Bombyx mori: one gene and its partner. The protein of the gene in region 1 purifies or fractionates together with the protein of each later gene. This does not show direct contact. Links are inferred from orthologs where the notes say so. Each region holds a gene or a part of one and is shown on either strand. Other genes may lie near its edges.

The links. The genes of interacting proteins can lie anywhere in the genome.
Region 2: the proteins of uncharacterized protein LOC101741975 (region 1) and importin subunit beta-1 purify together in Homo sapiens (affinity purification with mass spectrometry; 3 studies listed by BioGRID and IntAct, with this or other methods). This does not show direct contact. The link is inferred for Bombyx mori from reciprocal best matches to the Homo sapiens genes PPM1G and KPNB1.

Annotation. Positions count from the first base shown.
Region 1 is NC_085116.1:6,775,796-6,779,364, reverse strand, and holds part of uncharacterized protein LOC101741975, read right to left. Parts: intron 3,510-3,569; coding exon 3,415-3,509; intron 1,805-3,414; coding exon 1,681-1,804; intron 1,426-1,680; coding exon 1,238-1,425; intron 1,060-1,237; coding exon 792-1,059; intron 525-791; coding exon 309-524; intron 14-308; coding exon 1-13.
Region 2 is NC_085110.1:11,420,955-11,425,137, forward strand, and holds the start of importin subunit beta-1, read left to right. Parts: upstream 1-1,322; 5' UTR 1,323-1,460; coding exon 1,461-1,518; intron 1,519-2,291; coding exon 2,292-2,533; intron 2,534-2,907; coding exon 2,908-3,088; intron 3,089-3,243; coding exon 3,244-3,503; intron 3,504-3,910; coding exon 3,911-4,097; intron 4,098-4,183.

The sequences.
Region 1 (3,569 bases):
TCTTCACCTCCATCTGCACAAAAGATTTTTATATAAAGTTATTAGCTTATTATAAAAATATATTTCGTAATTCACTGGCAAATAGGGAATTTTTCGGCCAGTATTCTAATTTATTTTAAAAGATTAAATCTAATTTAAAATTTAATCTAAACATTTAAGGTGCCTAAAAATAAAAACTGCAATACTTATAGAAAAATAGCAATTACTAAGCAAGCTTCTTGTACTTTTAATCATCCAAACAATTAAAATCAACAGGTAGCCAACAAAACATGTAATAAAATTGTAATTTTCTTTATTGGTATTATTACCTTCATTGGAAGAATCTTCATTGCCATTCACATTTTCTTCATCAGACGAATTAACTTCACCTCCTTCAAAAGTCTCATCATTCGAATCACTTTCATCATCTTCCTCAGCCTCTAGCAGCAATGATTCATATACAGCAGCAGCTGCTCGTCGTAATTTGGCCTTCTTTGGTCTTTCTGGGGCTTCTTTTTCAGAACTTGATACTGGCGAAGTTTTATCTAACATAACGATGATATTTATTATTTATAAAATAAAAATTTCTTACTTTTTAATTAGGGCAGCCATATTGGGAAACATCAAGGTTGACAGCATGTCTATATTACAAATGATTCTGCTGCTAGTCAATGTACCAAATTGATACATTGTCACTATCATTGATAGTGATATTGATTGATACTATTCAATCTAAGCCAACATTTACTATGCACATTTTCACTACCCATTATTTATTTTTAAAATATTAGTTATAATGCTATTGTGTTTACCTTTAGCTTTCCCAGACTTGACTGGCGTGGCAGATCCATTAGATGATGAAATATTGTTGTCCTCCCCTTCAGCTTCTTTTGAATCCGAAACTTCTCCATTGCAAACATCAGAACTATTCCTGGGAGCCACATCACAGCTTTTAATATTTTCACTTTGTTCAGGCTGGTGAAAATTGTCATCAGAACTGTCTGGTGCCGCTGAGTTTATTTTCTCAGGTTCTACAGCAATGGGATCTTTTGCAATGGTATCTGGGTCACTTGTTGATACCTGAAATGGAATAAAAATAAGAATGGAATATACCTGAACACAGATTTGTCACATTACAATGTTTGTGAAATTTTATTTTTACCTGAAAATATGAAACAATCAATAATTAGTACTGTAACACTAAAACTGTAAGCATTTATAATATCACTGTCATACTGGTTCAAATACAGATAATTACCTCTCCATTTGTTTCTTTGTCTTTTTCATTGGAACTTGTAGATGAGACTCCCCCAGTGTCATCTTCTGTGTTCATCTTGACATCTTCCTGTGCAATAAGTCCATTTTTGCTAGATGAAGCTCCTTGATTAGACTGTTCGGAACTTGAACCTAATGATGAGCATCCTAATCCTAAGTCACTGGAGGCACCTATAGTAATTTTTTAAGTTATTTATTTGCTCTTATATACTTTATTGATATTTTGTGAAAAACAATAAGTGAATGCTGATATGTACTGTAAGTTGTTTTTCAATTGGTTATGGAATTTCAATATCCACAACTAAGAAAAATTTCACTAATTAGTAATTTAAATAAAAATAAAAAACATAACAATCATTTAGTTCATAAAGATCTATAGACTTTTTATAGATATTTCATGTACAGTCATCATTAACAATTAAAGACCTGCGGCATCCTGTTCATCAACATTCTTCTTGGCACGTAGACATGGCGAGAGTGGCGTAGCTGTGTCTCCAAGTCTATTTCGATGAAGTGAACTTAATTTGTTTTCATATTTAGCCAACACCTCCTGTGTAACGAATGTTTTCATGATAAATTTGGAATATAAATCGAATAGCTTTAAAACCGAATGGGACAATTTTGGACAAATATGAGGGTTCTTGGACATACTGCCGTTTCCTGCAGGTACATGAGAATGTATAAAAAGCAATATCTTTGGACAAGACAGGCTCTTTTATTAATGTATCAGAAATATTCCATCCAATCCTTTTTAAAGATTACTTCAAGTCATGATTTCTACAGGGCCCTGGTAATTACTTATGGATGTAAATTTGTAGTCTGTTTATTTAGTGTCAAAAAAAAACAGAATGATATTTTTCATTGTTTTCGTGGTAGTATTTTTTTATGATTGTAAGATTACTAGTGGCCCGGAGGTCTTTCCAGTTTCATAAGGTCAAGTGGGCGTGCAAAAGCTCAGCCAGGAGGGGTGGGATTTGCTAACAACTGGCCGAGCGCCTCCAAAGGAGACCTAACAACTCAAGAGCAATTGCTTTGCGAATGAATCTACTACCGGATCGGAATCGCGACCCGCTGAGATCTGGCGAAAAACTCAGCGGGCTGATGCTGGGGTTAGGTTGCACGTCGACCTCTTTGTCGAGTTCGACGAGTACGGTTACCAGGGTTCCTCAGCCTGCTCCTAGTGTTAGAGCTGAAGGTATCTAATGCAAGAGTTATTGGATCTGATGGATCCGTAAGGACGTGTCTAGGGCGACGACGGTGATTTGCTCCTGCGTGATAAGGATTCGGGGAGTAGTCAGCGGCGGCAACGATAAGGCGATTATCATGAGGCATAGCCTTATCGAAGTACCGTTCCGACATTGACTTCATGTGTTTGCGGATCGTTTCGAGGCCCAGGTCGTCGTGTAGGTCGACGTTCCTCACGAACCACGGAGCCCCGACGGCTAACCTGCAAAAGCGGGATTGTAGGGATTGGAGGGTGTCTATGTGTGTGCGGGCCGCGTGAGCGAACACCACACTCACGTAAGTCATGACGGGCCTTATGCAAGTTTTGTAAAGCGTCACCTTGTTCCGAAGGGACATTTTACTCCGCTTACAGATCATGGGATAGTCTGCCGAGAATAAATGCGGCACAGTCGCGGACTGTTTTTATATGCAGGCGGAATGTCATGGATGCATCCAGGGTGACTCTTGATCTTCCTGGCCCAGGATATAGGTTGTCCGAAGAGGGTGATCGGGAGTGTGATATTCCTCCTCCTAATGCGGGAGGAAATAAGTGAGTTTTCCCTTTGAAATAACACTGCTGTGCTTTTCGCTGGGTTGATGTCTGTTTTAGTGGTGGTGTTTAGCTAGCTAAAGTAAGTACTGTGATCACTCACATGCGATTCATTCATAATGGCATAGAGATGGTCAGAGTTCTCTTACAAAGCTATGCAACTAAGCCTAATCAAATCCTACAAGCAGATATGTTAATAATGTGTGGGATGTGAAATAAATGTGATGTTGTTATAGTATGTTCATGAACTAATTCCACAATGAAGGAATAATAATATCTTGTCTTTTACTTAAGTAAAAAAAATATGGGTTCTCTAATCAAGGTGTATGTGAATTTATATAATATCTAAAGTAAGCTCGAAACAAGAAAACTTTGAAATAACTCACCTGCAAAGGTAGATGTGCTTCTTGGTACAAGTTGGTTACATTTTCATCATCAGATTCTTCCTCATTGTCGCTGGAGCCTGGTGGATTTATTTCACCTTGACAAAAAAATTAAAAACCTTATAAACTTTGTATTTTTTTCAATCAATGTTTGAAAT
Region 2 (4,183 bases), on another chromosome or scaffold:
ACTCCCATAAAACCAATTTGGAACTGCCGAACGATTTTGTGAATCAAATTCAATTTCCGGCACGAGGTTTTGTGTATGAGTTCAAGAACGCAAACAACTTGTCCAAAGTAAATTTTTTTTCACTTTTTGAATTGACTATTAAATTTGACTGGTAAATAGAAGCGAATTCAAAGCTAAATAGATCTTTATCCTTAGACCTATATTCTTGTATTTTGAAATGTCTTATTTATGTATATCTTTACGAAGTTGCCGTTTTACAAGGCCATATTATTATGACACATCATGCATGCCTAGAAAAAAATTTAAATTCTAGCAATAAATCATAAATTCAAATTACCTAATCTTATTTATAAAATATGGAATTCTATTTTCAAATTCGGTCATTTGATTAGTGCTTTGTTTTCATCACATTCATGTTAATATAGGTATAGTAAAAATATATGTAATAATGGAATAAGAGTTCCATCGCGGCAACAATGCCGCACAAACAACCCACAACATTAATTATATATGTATGGAGTGAACACTTTGAGTAAGCCTTTCCGGAAATTTGATATAAAATACGAACGCCTAAATCTATACAATCATCAACGACGAATCAGAAGCGATCGTGGAAAATAACGACACTCAAGCTATCGTTGAATTAGCAACAGCTTTTAATGCTAGCATCAATACAATATAGGTTTATTTGCGTCAAATTGGGAAAGTAACAAAACTTGTTATGTAGTTGCTGTACCAATTGAACGATCGCCAACGCGACGAACGCATTAAAATATAAGTTGCGTATACAGTTGCTCGACAGACTCAGAAAGTAAGGGATTTTAAACCGCATTATTACTTGCCAAGAAAAAATTATTATTTTTAATAATTGTAAGCGGTCATCATGTTGATTATACCCTGGTTAAGCAATTAAGCAATGCCCTAAACAAAAACACATCCATAAAAGTCATGGTCAATATTTGATGGTCTAGTGCCGGTATCACACCTTCTGATCAAATGGCAACAGCATTACTGCAGATGTGTGACATGAGGAACTGGACAAAAGTTGAATGCTCGCATAAATAACTATTTGCTATTTGAGATTAATTATGGTAAATCCATTAGGACTTCTTGGAAAGCTTATCATTGTCATGATATATAACCAAATACTTGAAATTGAAAAACTTATTGTGGTTTATATGTGCCTTTTGGGGGAAATCGAGAGAAATTACACTTGATTAAATACCAAACACTTTTTTCTTGAAAAATCAGCTGCTAGCGACATCTTTACCAGATTTCGTGGGCCAGTGTCCTACACTATCACAATTGAAATAGAGTATAGATTAAAAATACCCTCTGCTGGCAACAATACTCAATAGCCAATATTTCATGAGTGTTCTTCCGTCGTCCGCCGGTTTCTATTTTTCAAAAAACAGGATTGAGTCAGTCTTTTGCAACATAAACTTAAGAATAGTGAAACAATGCACGCAGAAACAACATTAACGCTTATACAAATACTTGAGAAGACAGTTTCACCTGGTAAGTAATATGACTAACATCAACATGAACATGGATGGCGTTATAGAAAATAACGTACTTTTGCTACCTATAAACTATGCCATGATTCTGAAATTTATCCGGAAAAACTGTAGAATGGATAAAAAAATGGCATTTCTCAGCAAAAAGCATTTGAATTAAAACGAGACTGTAATTTTATCTAGTATCACCAACCGCAATGCTTACCTGTCATCCAGGAAACTTCTAGTTCAGCTTTCGAACCTCACGATGTCTGTGTTATTAACATTCAATGAAAAAGTGTGCTATAACTTTTGAATTCAATAGCTATTTTAATTCATTGTACATATAAAAAACAAAAAAATAAGTTTAAGGTTAGAAAATAGTGGATATTCTGTAGTATTAAATGAATAGGTAACGATTTTGTACATACATACCCTAATAAGAAAGAAACAATGTGCAACAGGGGCCGTATAAAATATATTTAAACAACATTATTTCAAAGTATAAAAATATTTATTAAGAAATTATAATAAAAGAAGTAGTGGTACTAAATAATCAATTGGTTTTGATGTTCCCTTGGCATGGATGACTTGGATTAGTGATCGTGACTACTCACCATTAGGTGGCCCATATTCTCGCCTGGTTTCAGTGGTAATAAAATACAAAAAAGACCTCACAAATTTGATTCTCTAACACCTTTTGTTTTCATGTGACATATCAGTATACAGACATAGTTAAATTTGGGGTACTTCACTTTGTAAATTATGTACTTAGATTATGGTTATTGCTTACAGATCGAAATGAATTGGAAGCAGCAGTTAGATACCTCGACCATGCTGCCACCACAAATTTCACAACATTCATCAAAATGTTGTCCGATGTCCTTCTCCAAGGTGGTAACAGTCAAGTGGCTAGGATGGCAGCTGGTTTGCAATTGAAAAATCATCTCACTTCTAAAGATCCTACACTTAAACAACAATATCAACAAAGATGGCTGGCTTTGGCAGAAGATGTTCGACTTTATATAAAAGAAAATGTAAGGCAATATTGCAAACAAGAAACAAGTGAAACATTGAAAAATTCACTAATAAGTTACTTAATAATAAAAATATATATAATATTATCTCTAAGCTAAATTGCTCAATTATTGTCTAAATAGCAATTCCCTGTATGTCTTACTTAGATTAAAATTAAAATTAGTAATAAATATAATTTAACACAACACTAATAAATACAAACACACAAGACATCTAAAACGTAATTACGCCACCCATCTTGAGATACAAGTTCTAAGGTCTCAGGTATAGTTATAGTATAGAGCTTGAACTAATGAAGGTGGAGAATCTGATAAGTTCCATCAGGTGTAGGTAACCAAGTTATATTTAATTTTAATACTAGTTTCTTTTTTAGATATTAGCTGCTATAGGAACAGAGAATAGTCGTCCAAGTTCAGCAGCACAGTGTGTGGCGTATGTGGCAGTAGCTGAGCTCCCAGTAGGACAATGGAATGATCTAATACCAATTCTTGTAGAAAATGTTGTTCATGTCCAATCTACTGAACTCAAAAAGGAAGCGACTTTGGAGGCTATTGGTAACTGAATGAACATTTGATAGTTAAAAGAGCTATGACAAATTATGTTATATAAATAAACAAAAAAAAAATTACAGTTTTAATTGTGCTTTATAACTAAAGGCAAATTGCTATTAATCTCTTTAACAATACTGATGTATTTCTTATTCTTCTAGGCTACATTTGTCAGGATATTGATGCTGAAGTATTAACAGAAAGAAGTAATCAAATTCTTACGGCCATCATACATGGCATGAGGTCAACTGAACCCAGTAATCATGTTCGACTAGCTGCTACTCAAGCTTTGCTCAACTCTCTAGAATTCACCAGAGCGAACTTTGAAAAAGAAAATGAAAGAAACTTTATTATGGAGGTTGTCTGTGAAGCCACACAGTCTAGTGACATGAGAATCAGCGTTGCTGCTTTGCAATGCTTAGTAAGTTTTATAAATATATAATGTGAATCCAAGTATTATATTTAAAATTAAAATAAAATACCACCTTAGCTACCACATTAGCTTTCTTCCCATGAAAGTAGAAAAAATTATATACCTCAGGAATATTACTTTTTTGTGGATAGTATCCTTTTATGTCCTTTTCTGTACTCTTGACAGCATTTATGTAAAATTTCATAATTAATGATTGATTAGTTAGATATGAAAGTGTATGAATTACAATTTATATTAATATTACATTTACTCAGTTATAAATTTATAATATTAACATGAATAACAAAGCTAAGACTTATTTTTTGGGATACCAGCTATTGACATGATTAAATTTAAACAATTACTGTATTAATTAATTTAAAAAATAGTTTTTAATCAAACAAAATTATCTTCAGGTGAAAATTTTATCACTTTATTATCAACATATGGAACCTTACATGGGACAAGCTCTATTCCCCATAACACTTGAGGCTATGAAATCTGATATTGATGAGATTTCATTACAAGGTATTGAATTCTGGTCCAATGTGAGCGATGAGGAAATAGATCTCGCAATTGAAGAAGCTGAAGCAGTTGAAGCAGGTATGAAAGTGATACTTCTATTCTCCTGTTGTGTTTAAAAAAATGACTAAGTATAAACTTTCTAAATTCATTATTACTTCAAATTC